3 linked regions of the Arabidopsis thaliana genome follow. The protein of the gene in region 2 interacts with the protein of the main gene of each other region in a biochemical or structural test. Each region holds a gene or a part of one and is shown on either strand. Other genes may lie near its edges.

The links.
Region 1: the proteins of COP1 (region 2) and CIP8 form a complex in vitro, tested with the Arabidopsis thaliana proteins (3 studies listed by BioGRID).
Region 3: the proteins of COP1 (region 2) and AT2G34150 form a complex in vitro, tested with the Arabidopsis thaliana proteins (one study listed by BioGRID).

What each region holds. Positions count from the first base shown.
Region 1 is NC_003076.8:25,943,384-25,947,304, forward strand, and holds CIP8 (COP1-interacting protein 8), read right to left. Parts: upstream 2,060-3,921; 5' UTR 1,960-2,059; coding exon 955-1,959; 3' UTR 732-954; coding exon of another isoform or gene 628-731; 3' UTR 608-627; downstream 1-607. Other genes in the region: AT5G64910 (Serine/Threonine-kinase), read left to right, coding at 39-77, 144-206, 294-341, 410-541, 645-731; CPR5 protein, read right to left, coding at 2,502-3,716, 3,794-3,829. UniProt on the Arabidopsis thaliana protein: E3 ubiquitin-protein ligase that mediates ubiquitination and subsequent proteasomal degradation of target proteins. Probably forms a minimal ubiquitin ligase complex in cooperation with the E2 enzyme UBC8.
Region 2 is NC_003071.7:13,976,219-13,983,912, forward strand, and holds COP1 (Transducin/WD40 repeat-like superfamily protein), read left to right. Parts: upstream 1-1,662; 5' UTR 1,663-1,781; coding exon 1,782-2,099; intron 2,100-2,438; coding exon 2,439-2,516; intron 2,517-2,650; coding exon of another isoform or gene 2,651-2,654; coding exon 2,655-2,810; intron 2,811-3,067; coding exon 3,068-3,418; intron 3,419-3,988; coding exon 3,989-4,146; intron 4,147-4,240; coding exon 4,241-4,306; intron 4,307-4,833; coding exon 4,834-4,912; intron 4,913-5,202; coding exon 5,203-5,358; intron 5,359-5,454; coding exon 5,455-5,553; intron 5,554-6,159; coding exon 6,160-6,264; intron 6,265-6,406; coding exon 6,407-6,586; intron 6,587-6,671; coding exon 6,672-6,782; intron 6,783-6,893; coding exon 6,894-7,064; 3' UTR 7,065-7,391; downstream 7,392-7,694. Other genes in the region: AGO6 (Argonaute family protein), read right to left, coding at 1-65, 163-368, 456-638. UniProt on the Arabidopsis thaliana protein: E3 ubiquitin-protein ligase that acts as a repressor of photomorphogenesis and as an activator of etiolation in darkness.
Region 3 is NC_003071.7:14,418,759-14,425,178, forward strand, and holds AT2G34150 (SCAR family protein), read right to left. Parts: upstream 4,714-6,420; 5' UTR 4,502-4,713; coding exon 4,347-4,501; intron 4,104-4,346; coding exon 3,940-4,103; intron 3,934-3,939; exon of another isoform or gene 3,648-3,933; coding exon 3,524-3,647; intron 3,417-3,523; coding exon 3,320-3,416; exon of another isoform or gene 3,289-3,319; coding exon of another isoform or gene 3,229-3,288; coding exon 3,161-3,228; intron 3,083-3,160; coding exon 1,486-3,082; intron 1,399-1,485; coding exon 1,303-1,398; intron 934-1,302; coding exon 829-933; intron 734-828; coding exon 674-733; 3' UTR 505-673; downstream 1-504. UniProt on the Arabidopsis thaliana protein: Involved in regulation of actin and microtubule organization. Part of a WAVE complex that activates the Arp2/3 complex. Regulates trichome branch positioning and expansion.

The sequences.
Region 1 (3,921 bases), on a different chromosome or scaffold from region 2:
GTTTCATTTTTAATCAAACTTACTTTTCCTTTGTGCAGGTTGAATGTGAATATGACTGGGTGAAAAGCGTCATTGAGGTGCAGTATCTGACTTTTCCAATAAAACACCTTACTTGAATTACTTCTCATCTCAGTTTATTTTAGGAATTCACCGACAGTCTGATCAATGAGGAGGTATTACTCCCGGAACAAAAGGTTGCGTTCGAGGTAAGCAAGCAAGAGCTGGAATTGATTTGATGAATTCATTTGAGGGAGGTCTCTAAAATCACTCACCCATATGTTTCCTTTTTTCAGGAGTTTGTCAAAGAGAAAAGTGACAAAGCTATGGCAGCTTATGACACGGTATCATGTTTCATACCCTCTGCTACAGAGCCGCACATATACTTAACAATGGATTCTACAATTGGCAGGCACAAGAAGCCCTAGAGAAAGCAAAGGAAGGACTGAGCGAAGAAACAAAAAAAGCCTATCAAGAAATGAGGTTGTACAAGTTTTATCCATTGCCTTCACCAGACACACCCCACACTGCAGGAATTGAGAAGGTACAAAACAAATCCAACTTAGTTTGTCAATGGAACTCTGAATATTATTGCCAAAATCTGATATAAGTTTGTTGGTCTCTGTGCAGTCCCCGTTCATAAACAGGTACTTCGGGAAGGCTCACGAAGTCCTGTAACCGTTTCTCCTAAACCCAGGAACCTTTTTGTTTCGGCAAACTTTATGAACAACTGAGAATCAAAGAAACCACTATGGGATTGTTTAGGCCAAAGATACAACACACTTACAAATAACAATTGTCTTTTTGGAGCCGGATTTTTTTTTTTTGTTCTCTGTTTTCTCGCTTCTTTGATGCAACATGCAACCAACCAAATAGTGTTGAGAGACTAAGCAAAGATTAATCTAAAGAGAAAGAGTAACAACAAAAGTAACAACAAATGGGGGCATTTCCTCCACTTCAGTAACGAGAAGTTGAAGAAGAAGAAGAAGCAGCAGCAGAATCTGACACGGTAGAAGTTCTTTTTTTCCTCTCTTCCTCATATTCAGCATCATCAGTCTCAAGCTGGAATCTACAGACAGGACAAGAGTTCCTTGTTCCTAACCATGGCACAATACAATCTCCGTGGTAACAATGTCCACACGGTAACTTCTTACCAGTTTCTCCCATCACCATTCCATCTTTACACACAGCACAAACCATAACCATCTCTCCCTCCGAAGAACTAACCTCGAAAGTCTCCAATGCCTCTATTGCCGATTTCGCAGCCGGTGGTGCGCCTCTCCTTCCTCCGCCACCACCACCATCTCCTTCTGCTAAATTCTGTAGCAAAGCTTCGTATCCGGCTGCATCGTCTATGTAATCAGCCGGATTTCCTGCGTATCGATCTGATTCCATACGGAACTCAATCGAATTGTCTTCGATTCCCATCAAAATCTCAGCCCAATCGAGAATTCTGTTTCTTCCGGTTCTCGACTGCGTCGTCGTGAGAGGAAAACGATTTCTCCTCCTCAGATCATCTTCTTCGTCTTCTTCGTCGTTGACGGTTAAATTCTCTTCCTCATCCTCTTCTTCTTCATCTCCATCATCTTCATCTTCGTCTTCGTCATCGTCGATTTCGTTTCTACTATTGAGCTCCAACCTGAAGAAATCATCTTCGTAAGATAAAACATCAAGGTGTCGTGGTGGTGAACGCTGAGAAGGCGCGTGGGCTAACAAGCGGAGCATCTGGAGGAAATGCGAGCCAATACTGGAGTCTTCTACATTCAGATCTGGGGAAAGTGGCTGCGGTGGCGCCGGCGATGAATAAGCGGCGGGAGTCGGTTGAATTGACTCGACGAAACCTTTGTTACATTCGCAGCACACGACAAAGTCATCTAAGGTTTCAACGACGACGCGTTTGTTGCAGTGATAGCACCAGTGCGACGCCGTGGCATCCGGGGAAGACGACGGAGCATCGGACATCGTGCAATTAATCGTCGGGTTTTCAGGCTTTCGGGTCCGGATTCGGATCCGATAAGCCGATTAAGAGGATGGAGAAAATAAAAGAAAAAGGTCTCTCTGTATTATTATTATCGAATTTTTAAGACATTAGAGAATCCTGCTCATTTACCCACTTGACCCACCCACAATATCATAATATTTTCTTCTATATATGATATCACCATCATCATAAATTCATAATACTTACAATTTAATCAAACTGTTCAATTGCTGTCAAACATAAAAATCAAATTGTTCAATCCAATTTAAACCAGCTTCCAAATCAAAACTGACTTGCACTTTTATCCAAAAACTTGATAAGATAAAGTACCATTTGACCCATGAAATTTTGTCATATCGAAAAGCATAATTTTAATTTCTTTTGACAACAATACAAACATATAACTCGAATACATAACTTTGTAATAGCGATACAATTGTTTCAACAGCACCCATAAAATAAAATAAGATTAAAAAACCCAAATCGTTACAATAAATTACAATACAAAGATGGCCTCCTCGTCTCAAGCATAGTCAGACCCACCATGAAGGTGATACATAGCGAAGTCTCTCCATTCACCAAATGTTGCAAATGGCAAAAGACCGTTTATGACTGGAAGAACAAACAGAATCACCACATACACGACACTGCGCCTTGCCCAATATGGAAACATACTGTTACAACGGTTCGATCTGGTCTCTTGAGTCACGTTTATAGGACCGAACATTAGACCATACAAAGCCAATGTGAAGACATTTGCAACGAATTGCAAAAGGCAAAACACTTCCCAAACTATTAGCCAGAGTTTGCCATCACCGCCCAATGTGTCCACACACAATTTACCCGATACACCGCAAAATATACCGAGGAAAAGAACGATGAAACTTATCGGCATTGTCTGCTTCGTACCTGATGATCGTTTGTTTAGAAAGTAAGTGAAGACAATGATCATTAACACACCGAAAAATATCTGCACCCAAACTCGAACCCGGCAGATGAAGGTGTTGAAGCCTGAGTTAATCGATGAAACTTGTTTAGGAACCCACCACGACGAACTTTTCTCCTCGGATTGGTCGCATACTGAGGTAGCATCCTCGATTCTCTTTATTGAAAAATTGTAAACGCCAAGTACCATAGAAGCCAACATGCTGAAGACACTTACGAGGAGCCAATCCATGATTCTTGTGACCATCTCTTCTTTTCTTGTATCTTCTAATTCGGTTTTGAATTTCTCCGCTCTGAATGCAGCTTTCGAAACATCCAACTCTAGCGCCGCTTTCCCCAGGTTGTTTGATTCAAATTTTAATCCTAGCGCCGTCTCTTTGCACCTTAACTCTCTTATTTGAAGACCAATCTCCACGGTCTTTAGGTCGTTTGCTCGTGTTTGCTCTTTTAAAAACCTTTCGTCTGTGGTCAAAGCCATTGCTGAACTTCTAGGAGGGACACAAGAGAGTTGTAGAGTCTCTTCGAAAAGGGCAAGCTCATTCATCAAAGAGGTTGCTGTTGCACTGCCTTGCATCACTTCATAAGCAGACGTAGCAGATGAAGTCTCCCTCTCAAATAGCTCGGTGTCTGAGCATCCGTCTATGGTAGAGCGATCTAAATTACAACTCCCACCATCATTATTGTTTGACTGATGTGGATTTGCACATTCATTGGTCAATTTAAGGATCTTTAGAGTACTGCTGAATGTTTGCTCAAAGTTGGTCGCAAAGGAACCAAGCTTATTACCATAAACCTGTAACCACAACATTATGAATCAGAAAGTCTATAAATATAAAAATGCGGAAAACATAGAGGGGGATTTTAGCTTACATTGGCTAATGATTCTTCGACAAGAGTAGCAAAGATCTGGAGAGCATAATCAATGAAGTTCTTGTATCACTACCAAAACGATGGCAAAAGAAAGATTGAACAGAAACTGAGAAGAAATCATTTGAAGT
Region 2 (7,694 bases):
AGAAAGAACGTTTTGATCGCTTGCAAGTACCGGAAGAACTACCACCATCAGAGACACCACAATCACTATAAACTTAACAAGACTGCGTTAGTTAGAAGATCAACAAGATCTATCTTGACACCTTGAAACGATTAAATATCAATCCAGATAAGAGGGACATACCGTTTTGAAAATGACCCTTCCACGATGACTAGAAAGTCAAATTCGTTCTGTGGTAGAGGACCAACAGTATATAAAGTCTTCTCTCCATCATATGCCAACCTTTTACCATCAAGATCAGAAGAGTAAGTCTTGAATAGTTGGTCCATAAGCTTTCTGCTTATTCCTGTCCCATCAACAGCATCACCGTTTTCTGTGGTGATACTAACCTGCAAAAAAGGTACCGATATGTCAAACATCTCACACACGCACAGACACTGATGAAAGAATGCAGAAAAGTGACTAATGAATCTTACAGTGTACTGGTAAAATACTACATCCGGCTGTCTCACAGAAACATTAAAGTGATTGGTGCACAATTCTATTGGGTTGCCTGTGGTTCCAACCCCACGTCTAGTTGTGATGTCATAATCTCGATGGCTGGGCTGTTCTGGTTCTATACTTATGGGTGACAGTGGCAGAGATGAAGATGTCTCCATCCTTCCAGGGGAAAATAATCTGCAAGAGAGAAAAGTGGAGGTTGGTTACAGTGTGCAAAAACCAGTCCAAAACACAATGCTCAGGAGACTAAGAAAGAAAAGAAAAACACCAAATTAAGAAGACAACTCCAAAAGGTAAAAAGCTAAAAACTTTACCACCATTGTCGTTCTAAGATTTTAATTTCTGGGCATATCCTGCTAAATCGCGAGAAATGGTATAAATTTCAGATGAGGAACAAACTTAATCTGGAAAAAAAATGGCACCTTTAACTGTTGGTCGCCTTCAAAATTGAGAAACATTACACAAACAAAAACTCATTCGAGTGTGTCATACAGTAGCATAACAAGACTTTCAAGAGAGAAACAACGCAGCCAAAACCATACAACTATCAACAGACAAATCCTAGCTTCATGCAAATTCTCCGAAAGAGAGACAAAAACAAAACCTAGCTCCGAATCAACAACAATTACAACAGCGATATCTAGTGAAAACAGCGCACCTTTGAAAGAATTAAGAAGAGGATTTCTAGGGTTCCGGTGAATCAAAGAGAGGAATTTATTTAGCTCATTTCTCTTCTCCGTCACAGTCTCTTTGGGTTTCCCAGACAAGCAAAAGAATGGAGGGAACGTTTCCAGTGATGGGAAAATTAAAATATATTTCACTTTTCAGTCATTTTTTACAGTAACAAAATTTAAGAACTGAAATAAAAATGGTTTATTCCAAAATTATTAAACCGAATCCTTCAAAACTTATTCTATTTCTAGGGTTATGCTCCGGTTGAATGGATTGAAATTCCCAACTTATTCATTTCAAATAGTAAGAAATAAAATGAATGGTTGTAAGAAATTAAATTAGACCGTCGTGGTAATTGTAAGAAATTTCATTGAACCGGACTATAAATTAGAAGCCGGATAATTAAACCGTACCAGCGCTTGGAGAAACGCCAGACACACGCGCGAAAAGAAGCGCGTAGACCAGAACGTGTAGGATTTGTCACCTCAGAAAAGAACCACGGTGGATCCCACCACACCTCAGCCTCACTCCTCCTTCATCTCCGACGTCATACCCAAACCACTCTTTTCTCACAATTCCGATTTTCTCAAAAACCAAAATCACAATCGAAGAAATCTTTTGAAAGCAAAATGGAAGAGATTTCGACGGATCCGGTTGTTCCAGCGGTGAAACCTGACCCGAGAACATCTTCAGTTGGTGAAGGTGCTAATCGTCATGAAAATGACGACGGAGGAAGCGGCGGTTCTGAGATTGGAGCACCGGATCTGGATAAAGACTTGCTTTGTCCGATTTGTATGCAGATTATTAAAGATGCTTTCCTCACGGCTTGTGGTCATAGTTTCTGCTATATGTGTATCATCACACATCTTAGGAACAAGAGTGATTGTCCCTGTTGTAGCCAACACCTCACCAATAATCAGCTTTACCCTAATTTCTTGCTCGATAAGGTTTCTTTTTCTAATTTTACTCGTAATTTGTGTTTGGTCCTTAGCTTTTCAGTTCAAGTTCGGGTGTTGCTTGTTTGAGTCTTAGCTTGTAATCAAGTTTGGTTTTTGTCGTGGTTTTTGTGGAAACAAGTAAGCTAGCTTAGTCTTTAATCGATTCCAATGAACCTTGCCATTAGATTTTCTTAGGAAGGTTTTGTTTTGTTTTTGATGTGTAGTATTGTGGTAGGATTCTGCTTATTACAGCTAAATAGAAGCATGTTTATAGGAATGATAGTGTATTGAAACTATTTATCACTGGAATGCAGCTTATTATATGACGTTTATGTATCAATTGTGTAGCTATTGAAGAAAACTTCAGCTCGGCATGTGTCAAAAACTGCATCGCCCTTGGATCAGTTTCGGGAAGCACTACAAAGGGTCGGTTCTTAACAAGCTTTTTATGTTTCATTTTTTCCTCTTTAAGTTTGCTTTCTCAGAATTATTATTGGAGTAAAAAGCAATTCTAAGTCATTTCTTTTGATCAAATATTGACTTCCTGCGTTCATACTTAGACAGGGTTGTGATGTGTCAATTAAGGAGGTTGATAATCTTCTGACACTTCTTGCGGAAAGGAAGAGAAAAATGGAACAGGAAGAAGCTGAGAGGAACATGCAGATACTTTTGGACTTTTTGCATTGTCTAAGGAAGCAAAAAGTTGATGAACTAAATGAGGTTGGTTTGTCTGAATTATGGAGTAGCATTGGGCTACCTATTGATAATTATTCTCGTTGCTCTTCATTCCATTTGCTTCAAAATCTTCACTGGGTTTAGACTGTATAGTTGTTGTAAAAGAAAGCCATAAACCATGTTTCTATCAATAGATGTATGATCTATCCAACTATTCATGAGACGTATAACCCCTGAATGTTAGATGAGATCTCAGAATATTATAGAATTCTGTCATTTATGTCTTCTCTATCTTAATGTAGGTGCAAACTGATCTCCAGTATATTAAAGAAGATATAAATGCCGTTGAGAGACATAGAATAGATTTATACCGAGCTAGGGACAGATATTCTGTAAAGTTGCGGATGCTCGGAGATGATCCAAGCACAAGAAATGCATGGCCACATGAGAAGAACCAGATTGGTTTCAACTCCAATTCTCTCAGCATAAGAGGAGGAAATTTTGTAGGCAATTATCAAAACAAAAAGGTAGAGGGGAAGGCACAAGGAAGCTCTCATGGGCTACCAAAGAAGGATGCGCTGAGTGGGTCAGATTCGCAAAGTTTGAATCAGTCAACTGTCTCAATGGCTAGAAAGAAACGGATTCATGCTCAGGTTTGTTCCTCCTTGTCTACTCAACATCTTTATGCTGAAATGGTAAAAGGACAATGGCATTAAAGTTTAAGATATTTGTCTATTAAAGAATAAGAATAATTACTACAATTAGGCCCCAGTGATTGTGTTACAGTTACTACCATGCCTAGCTACTCAGCTCTTGGTCATCTGGATTGACAGCTCGAGAAATTGAAAGTGGTTGTGGGTAGAGGATGAATCTTCTTACGGAAAAGATACCTTAGATTAAGGCCCACATTTTTGGTGGTCTTTATAAAAAGCCGATTGGACTTCAGAGAGATTGATTTCGTATTGTTTGCACGTAAAAGTAGAAATAGCTTTCTGGACTTTATATCTACTGCTTAGTGATAGTAGCCGCTTCTTGTCTCTCTGGTACTATAGCAACAAAAAGTCACTATGTTCTCTAGACACACTAACAGTTCTGTGAATACTATGCAATCACAATTATAGTAGTTTTCTTGAAAAAACCTGCATGGTCCTTTAATCTCTCTGTAACTGCTTGTTGATATATGCACAGATTGCCTAATTCTGTTAAAGTGTCTTGTCTTGTAGTTCAATGATTTACAAGAATGTTACCTCCAAAAGCGGCGTCAGTTGGCAGACCAACCAAATAGTAAACAAGAAAATGATAAGAGTGTAGTACGGAGGGAAGGCTATAGCAACGGCCTTGCAGATTTTCAATCTGTGTTGACTACCTTCACTCGCTACAGGTAGAGGAGTGACTATCCCTTTTCAATCGGTCTAGCCGTACATAAAGAGTGTTTTCGAATTAGTTGGGGTTTTAATTGCACTCTTTATTCACAGTCGTCTAAGAGTTATAGCAGAAATCCGGCATGGGGATATATTTCATTCAGCCAACATTGTATCAAGGTGAATTTTCTATTCCTTGTTCGTTGATCAGATAACAGATGATAGGTACCAAAAGAATGTCTCCGAATATATCAAAATAGACCCTTAAGTGATTAAGTTTTGTTTAATGTATTGATAGACGCAATTATTACTATGGGATTCGTTGCTGTGTAATTCTAAGCCAGTGAATAGTATGAAGATAAAACTGCTGACATGGTAGGGAGAAGGTTGTGTAGTCAGCAGGCCACTTGAGGAGAATTTTCTAAAAGATGGAACACTATGTTATCCTTATCCATGTCGGAATATATAGAATCGGTTTGCGATCTTTTATATGAAAGTGTCTCTTCTCAATGAAGAGACGAAAGATATATATTTTTAGTTTATGGTCTGGGAGCTCCGGGGCTCATATCTTTTTCTCTCTATGTGCTTTGGTTTATGGTCTTCCATAGTTTACATGCTTTATGCTTTGCCTGGACCTCTAGTTTACCTGTAATTTGATGTACCATCTTACTGATTTTGCTGATGAAGAGGGTGCTGTTCCTTTTCAGCATAGAGTTTGATCGTGATGATGAGCTGTTTGCCACTGCTGGTGTTTCTAGATGTATAAAGGTTTTTGACTTCTCTTCGGTACGTTCATAAATCTTGGAGTGCATTCAATTACATACCAATTGAATCTTCTTGTCCAACCTTATGCTTTTGTGAAACTGATCATGCATCTCAATTCTAAGAAAGCTTCGTTGATAATGAAACTAAGTTATGCTCTTGGGAAATTCTAGCTTTGATGCAAGATAGCCATTTTACACTTTTGTATTGCGTAGAAGAATATAAATCAAAGCTAATCAAATTTTTGGTTTTAATTTTCTGTTTTATCCAATGGACCACGCTGAACTGATTGATTATCGGCTGCTACTTTTCAGGTTGTAAATGAACCAGCAGATATGCAGTGTCCGATTGTGGAGATGTCAACTCGGTCTAAACTTAGTTGCTTGAGTTGGAATAAGCATGAAAAAAATCACATAGCAAGCAGTGATTATGAAGGAATAGTAACAGTGTGGGATGTAACTACTAGGCAGGTGAGTACTTTACCCAAAGTATCTAACATCGCACCTATAAGATATTCATCTCATGAATTCTGCAGCGTATTTGAATTTTTATGTAAACTGAGGCAGAGTCTTATGGAGTATGAAGAGCACGAAAAACGTGCCTGGAGTGTTGACTTTTCACGAACAGAACCATCAATGCTTGTATCTGGTAGTGACGACTGCAAGGTAAATATCTCCATATTTTCCGTTATCACCTTTCATCTCACATTGGGCTATGTCTCATATAAAAAGAATACTACTTTTAGATATCTCCTAGCTCTTATAACTAACTTGGTCACGGATTTGTCTAATTTCTACGACGAACTAAAGAGACATATTGTGAAACAAAACTGGAGAATCTCCTACTTGCTCATTAGTACATTGTGTTCTCATGAATCTTTTCTACTACTTCTTAAACTTTTCTTTGAGTTGTTCTTCCCAACTTGGGGATTGGTCATATGTAGCCCTTCCTACATTGAATGTTTGTTGGTTTCTTAAATTTTCAGCAAAATTTTCCCCTTAGTGTATCTGTGGTGGCTATACATTAGGAAACAAACGAAACTGGACACTTGTATATAGTAGATTTTACCTTGAAATTTTGTAGCTTCATTTGTCCAAATTTAATTAAACGTTATTGAAAAATTCACTGGATTTCTAATTCTGACAAAAGCATATTATACCAGTGGGCTCCTTTTAAGTCAATTCACTACTAGTTAATCCTCAACCATGCATTATTGCATCTGTTAAATCATGTCTCATAGATTAACCAATTGTGCTGTGTGTTTGATCCAGGTTAAAGTTTGGTGCACGAGGCAGGAAGCAAGTGTGATTAATATTGATATGAAAGCAAACATATGTTGTGTCAAGTACAATCCTGGCTCAAGCAACTACATTGCGGTATATACTTCCACGCCTCAACTTTGCATCTCACATTTATTCGCTACCACTCATGATCAGCATGACACTATCACACGTCTCTAGATATAATCTTTAATTAGATAGAGAGACTTAGACGTTTAAGCCTGTTGACTTATCACAGGTCGGATCAGCTGATCATCACATCCATTATTACGATCTAAGAAACATAAGCCAACCACTTCATGTCTTCAGTGGACACAAGAAAGCAGTTTCCTATGTTAAATTTTTGTCCAACAACGAGCTCGCTTCTGCGTCCACAGATAGCACACTACGCTTATGGGATGTCAAAGACAACTTGCCAGTTAGATTACTGCCCGAGCCAATCTTGCAGATTCAGTCAAAAAGAAAAACTTGTCTTGACTATGTTGTTCAATTTTACTTTTCAGGTTCGAACATTCAGAGGACATACTAACGAGAAGAACTTTGTGGGTCTCACAGTGAACAGCGAGTATCTCGCCTGTGGAAGCGAGACAAACGAAGTATATGTATATCACAAGGTTCACAAATCCGAAACCTCTGCTCTCAACTTTAGCATTTTTCATTCATGATTCACAGATTTTCAACCTGTCGTTGCTCAAGTATTTTAAAATGTGAATGATGCGATGCAGGAAATCACGAGACCCGTGACATCGCACAGATTTGGATCGCCAGACATGGACGATGCAGAGGAAGAGGCAGGTTCCTACTTTATTAGTGCGGTTTGCTGGAAGAGTGATAGTCCCACGATGTTGACTGCGAATAGTCAAGGAACCATCAAAGTTCTGGTACTCGCTGCGTGATTCTAGTAGACATTACAAAAGATCTTATAGCTTCGTGAATCAATAAAAACAAATTTGCCGTCTATGTTCTTTAGTGGGAGTTACATATAGAGAGAGAACAATTTATTAAAAGTAGGGTTCATCATTTGGAAAGCAACTTTGTATTATTATGCTTGCCTTGGAACACTCCTCAAGAAGAATTTGTATCAGTGATGTAGATATGTCTTACGGTTTCTTAGCTTCTACTTTATATAATTAAATGTTAGAATCAAAATGCGGTGATGTGAATCGGTCATGAAAAGTCAAACCTTGGCTTATACAAAAGGTCCGACCCATGCAATAAGTCATTAGTATGTTCATGTAGCAAGATCATTGAAAAAAAAAAATCATTTTATAATGTAAAATTCATGAGAATTGACGAATTTGTGTCATAAGTGAAATTATATACAATTACTTAACACCTCTAAATTAACTCATAACAAAGTGATTGTGTGACACATTTTCATAAATTGGTCGTATCAATACTATAAGAGTAACCCTTTTAAATTTGGATACGCAACTAGGGATGGCATGATGTCTATATAAAATCATGCATGCTTTGTGAAGTTTAAATCACATGGCCAAACATTTTAGTTTTCGTCTTTTGTTTTC
Region 3 (6,420 bases), 440 kb from region 2:
GATTTTAGACTTTTTAGTGTTTGTGGTTGCATCTTTTTTGGTAAATCTGGCTGTCTCGCCAATTTTGCTTTGCTCTAGTGATCCAATCAAAATAATTTCTGATTCTCTTTCTTTTAGAAATAATTTTTCCGAACATAAAAGTTTAAGAAATTTAACTTTAATAACGAAATTCATTATGTATAAAATAATTCTCGTGAAATTGTAAGAACTAAGAAGCATATCAAATGCTTATCTTTGATCAAAAAAAAATAAAAAATGCTTATCTTTTGTTGTATCAGATAGAAAGTGAAAATATTTAAAGAAGTGTACAAACAAGGACATAATCTTTTTTCTAGTGTGTCAAGTACTGACTCAAATTAAAGAACACAGCGAATTTCACGGCTTAGGGCTTCGGGTACTTATATAGTACTAATGATTATTTTCCAAGATCCTATATTTGCCAACTCACGTTTTAATGTATACCTAAATAATTTGTTTAAAAAAATAATTAATTCAGTTCTTTTGTTTGTTTAATTATCAATAATCATCTAGAGATTCAGACGTAACATATTCTATAATTATTTTATTTTTCAGAACCTTATCTCTTTGTTGAAGATACAAATATAAACGTACGACAAAATCGACCTATATCTACTACACAATAAACATATGAGAACCGAAATGAATGATGTTGTCATGTGTCGCTATCGCTCCATGTATCGCTTTCGCCTTCTCCATCGTCGCTTGCTACAGCCTGATATAACAAGTCCGAAATGTAAGTGCTTTAATGACCAAAATGGTACTTGCAAACTGAAACGTAAGATTATAAATGTGAATAATGTATGGAACCTGTCGGATAGAGTTTGCCTTCTCTAGAATCACGCTAATATTGGTGTTCATTGTAGTTTCTGATGATGATGTCTTTGTCCTGACCACACGTCTCAAGTTGAATTGCTGTTATGATTCAAAAGGTTGTTGTTGGTTAAGAAAAATGCATTTTATGACTTTGTGGAAACAGAAATGAGAATTGGAGGATCAAAAAATCATTTCTCCCATTTCATTCCTATACAAACGAAACTAAAAACATGTTCAAAATATATTTCCATTTCGATTAAGAGGGAACCGGGACAAAAATGAAATACGAAAACAAATGTATATATTTTTAGTTTTAAGGGTTTGAGTTTTTTTTTTTTTTAATTATCGATTATGTAAATATGTTCCTTAATAAAGGTTACTTTGAATTAATAGAATAGGGAATGCATTTTCATATACCACAGAAATTTTCTATATAGCTAAAATATAAAGCAAGAATAAAAGACTCACTTTAGTTCGAATTTGATGCAAGAAGTCTCCAGCTTCTGTCTCATTTGTGTTGCCATGACTTTGCTTATAATCCCTCACATTGTTCTTCAGATGTACCTATCAACCATCACATAAAATACCTTATACCAAAAAGATGAAAAAAAAAAAACAGTAAAAAGGAGAAGAAAACTTAATTCTCCATACCTTGGTTACAAGTTTAGGATCAGAAACAGTGACAATGTGTGGTTCTTTTTTCTTGACTGCAGTTAAAGAATTGTTGTTCTTCTCAAATGCCTGTGTGAGAGCATCCTTTAGAGACTGCTTGTTGTTATCCTCGAATCCAGCTGACGGTATTTTCGAAACCATCCACTGTAACGGTGGGAGAGGCGGTGGTAATGGCTCAGCTGGATTTTGGAGGTAAGAGACATTTTCAACTAAACAACCATTTGTTGTTTCAATCTTTGGAAATGGAACTGGTAGAGAAGAAGCTTCAGCATTGACTCTGTGAAACGAATCATAGAGCTCTTGTTGCCTCTTGCTTTCTCGGATACCTTCTGATTCTTCTTCCCACTGTTGCTCAGACATTGACACAGAGCGATTGTCATTGTCACTGTTGTCTGAAATGTAAGAAGAAGATCTACAGAAAGTGTCCTTGTCTGAATCAGAATCAGGAAGTGAAGTAGCAATAGTCTCTGGCACCAACTGAAACGAAGAAAATGTATATTCATCTGGAAGTTTTAGCTGTAGTTCAGAACTTGGCAAGGTTTCTGAGGATTTGAAAGATATTTTCATGTGATCAAGTGGAGGAGATGAAGTAAACCAATCAAAAGGAGCCTTATAATCTTCTCTTAAGTGCTCTTGGAAGGTTTCAGAATCAATGTCTTCAACAATCTCTGGAATAGTTTCTGCTATAATTTTCGGTTTCGATGGTTTCAGTCCTAGGAGATTTCCATTAGTCCATGTTTTAATGGATTCAGTGTCACAAGAACTCTCAACTTCTTCTGATTCTTGATGTTCTTGGATACCACTAATATCATACAAAGGATTTGAGAAGCCATTGGAATAACTATGAGTGCCACTACTTATTTCCGAAGCCGCCCATGGATCTTGATGAATCAGTTCATCAGATTTATATACCGGTGATGATGATAAATGTAGCTCTGATGTAGCAGCACATTTTGTCTCATCAACACTAAAGTTGTTAGAAATCTTCTCTGTTTCTTGCTCTGTAATATCATTGTAAAGATTCTTCTGCACCTCTTTAGTGGCTTGGAAAGCTTCATCATTTTCAGATTCTGAATCGATGGTGTAAAGTGCATCAACAAAATCATCCCCTTCGCTTTCAGTCTCATCCTCATTGTCCATTTCCAGTTCCTTCGGTTTGATATCTTGGACCGCTTCAACCGCTGAATGTTCTTTAAGTCTTGATACCGGTTCAGCATCCAAGACAAAGTTAGTTTCCATTACTTCAGGAGCTTCATCTGTTGCACACTGCAGAACATTGCATTCCACTATCTCAGCTTTCTCGTGCCAACTAACACTAGAAGAACCACGAGCTGTTAAATCTTGAGAAGGACTATCACTTTCACTTTCACTTTCAGAAAGAACTGAAGCAATGGTGCGAGAACCCGGTGTAAACCTTGAAGAAGAAGATACCCTCTTCGGTTTCTCTCCACCACTTCTTGAATCGAAAGAGAAAGAACGATGCTCTTGCAAGTCGGATTTCGACTCAATTTCAATCGTTGAAGCAGTTTTAGAGGTAGAGGTTCGTCCACTGAAGCTTAAAGAAGTACATGTCTTCCTGAACATCATATCATATATTCATGTTTTGAGTCATATATGAAAACATCTCTACAATGTCAAATCCAAATGTCATTACCTGTCACTCTGGTTAGCCACAGAGGCAAGTCTTGATATATCTCGACCGCGTTGTATAGATTTTTTCTTCTGCATCATCCATACAAGTTTAGGTAGCAAACAAGAAAAAGAAGAAACTCTACAAAACATGGTATTAACAGACTGAATCTCTAAAACAAACCTTAATCTCTGAAGGTTTAGAAGCTCTTGATGCTCTTTTGAAATGAGTAGGATCCGAGTATCGTTTCAAACAAGAACCTGGACCATTTATATCAAATCTGACAAAAACCGCTAAGAATCAGCATCATATTTATTATCATCAGTCTAAAACATAGCAGAAACAGTAATAACAAAAAAGAAAATGAGAGTTAAAAGGTGTATATACTTGTCAAGCAAGTGTAACCGCGGAGGTTCCCGGCAATCTTCATATGGAGTCATAATAAACGGTGGCAATTCGTCATACATAAAGTGATTTTGCACATTTGGTATACGAGGATGCCACTCCAGACCTAAAACAGCATGTAAACACTATGTTCATTAACTATACTTAAATTTTCTAAAGAACTCAAATAGTGAAAGATCATGACTTATTTAATTAAGATCCATAAGAAAGACTACTAGTATCATTCATCATCAAATTCTAAACTCAAAAAAGAGTATTTTAAGCTAAGAAGTTAGTGCAAAAGGCATGTGAGCTAGGGCCTACAATAAACTCAACAGGATATAAATTTTTGATTAAAGAACAAACATGTGAATCTAGACATTAAAGAAGATTGACAAGAGAAACAAGACAAAAGAAACCTCCAGTGTATGCAAAATGAATGTGATTTGTTTGTGCAAGCACTGTCTTTTGGATTGTAGGAACTTTAGCTTCTATTTGCTTCAATCTCATCTTCAATTTGTTGCTTCTTGATGCTGTTATCATTACCTCCTCTTGTATTCCATGGAATATCTCTGCTGCGAATCTGAAACAATGTGAGTTTAACATAAAAACTCAGGACAAGTAAGATTGGCTGAGAACCATAAAATAAGCAAATGAAGAAGACCAAACACAGCAAAATTAAAGATTTTACAGAGAATCAAAGAAGATCACTGACTCCATATTGTCACATTTTTACTTAAGATTTTTTTTTTTTTAAAAACATTTATAAGTCAATTATAAAAAAAAAGAAACAGAGGAAACAGAGTTGACTTAAAGTACTACTTACTCTGTGAGATCACCGAGTTGACGCAAGATCCCGACGAGTCCAGAAACGGCGACGTCGTCGAGAATCGCTTTAGGGTCTTCACGGTCGACTTTTGTGTGAAGCTCTTTTTGCCCTAAACCGTAGACATTCCTAACTTGGAGCCTAACAAGCGGCATTTGCTCTGTTCTTGAGAAAGATTCCGGAGGAATGATCAGATGGGTTTTGAAGATAAGAAACAAAGATTGAGTTTTTGTGGGTTATGTTGCTTGAGGTGGGTGAGAGATTATGGCAGCTTAACCGCCGAAACGAGAGAGAGAGGGAAAATTTGGAGATTACAAAAAGGTTTTTCGTTGTAAAAAGAGAAAAGAGAGACTCGGAGACATTGCTAACACCGCAAGCCATTCCCTTTTTCAATGTCATCATTTTAACTAAAAGTGCTAAGAGAAAATTACGAAAAAGGGCTTGGAGCAAAAAGAAAGGTACCCATAACCTACCCATATGGAGCGAATCATGATCCAAATTAGTCATTTGTTACTTACATAATTTCCCGAAAATAAACTTTAGTTTTTATAAGAATTTGTTAGTGCTAAACATAAATTATTTAAAAAGAACTATAAACATTTTTAGTCATGTGTATAACCCCTACTTGTAATACTATATTTGTATGCTTAAGTCATCTAATGAGAACTTACTCTGCTTAATCTTCTACTACTAGCTACTAAAACAAAAAACTTCTACTACTTGTAATATTATATCATATACATTTTGCACAAATATGGAGTATAAAACTAGAAGTTAAAGTTTGGATCATTGAATGAGCATTTGAAGACTTCTATTATAAAATAGAAATGCGTTACAGTTTAGATAGCGTTAAAGTTTGAATCATTGAATGAGAATTTGGTCGTTTGCGAGGAAATAGACTTGTTGAGTTGGCTACATATTTATTGGAGAACAAAACTCCCATAAATGAGGCATCAATACATACGTAACACTTGTACTCAAACTCTATAGCTGTGATTTGTTTTTGTTTTTGACACCAACTATATATGAATGATGATGGTACAATTCAAAGATTTTCATAATGAATCTAGTAAAGCGGAAGTGTATGTATTGCCGTAATGGTGTGCCTCTCGCATCCTTGATCTATACAATCAAGTTTGATGTTACAAGAGTTGCATAATATCTTCCATCTACACACGCTGCGTAGTGTGTGCGCGTGTGGGTGAATGTATTCATACATCTATATCTTACACTACTTGAGGACTTGCACACATGCATGTGGATGTGTGACTTACTCCATCCTCGTTTAGGCATATATACACAATAATAAATCATGCACAAGCATTTTAGATCTGTGCTTCTAGAGTTTTGGATCTGGCTCCCATTAACCAAAGCAATTTATCAACTCGAATTCTTTTGTCGTTTTTCTTGATACTAACATATAAATACATTTTATTTATAAACTACAGTTCAGACATATGGATCGAAGATCCACAGTACTACTCCAGTACTCCATACAAGCTAATACACAGTATTAGAAGTAATCAATTCTTATGGTCCTTGGTAGGTATAGTATTATTAAATAAGTGATGCGATTAGATCAATGCATGACTTTTAGCTGGTCGTCTATTTATGGATGCTACCTAAACATAAATTTAATCACATGTCATTTATTATTTATTATTACTCCTAAATTGTTCTGTCCATTAAATATTTTATAAGTTGTTACTTGCTACTCCTATCAACCATTAATGGTAATCTTTGACGCAGATTCTATGAGCTATACTATTGCATTGTTTTCCATCATATATTATCAATCACAAGTAACTCTTCACAAAAAATGGCGGTCAATAAAGTGACACTTACAAAACTCAATGGTTTAAATAAAAACTACAACATTGCTGAAAAATATACATAAATTTTAAACACGAAATTGGTTAACAAAACAAAATTGGCGGTCATCTCATGTTTTTTTTTATATCATAGTAAATCTCGAAATGTGCTTTGATTAAAGATCAGACCATCGAATGGTGCACTAGCATTCTCATATAATTTGACATATAAAATAGTATAAGTAACAATATACTAATATAGT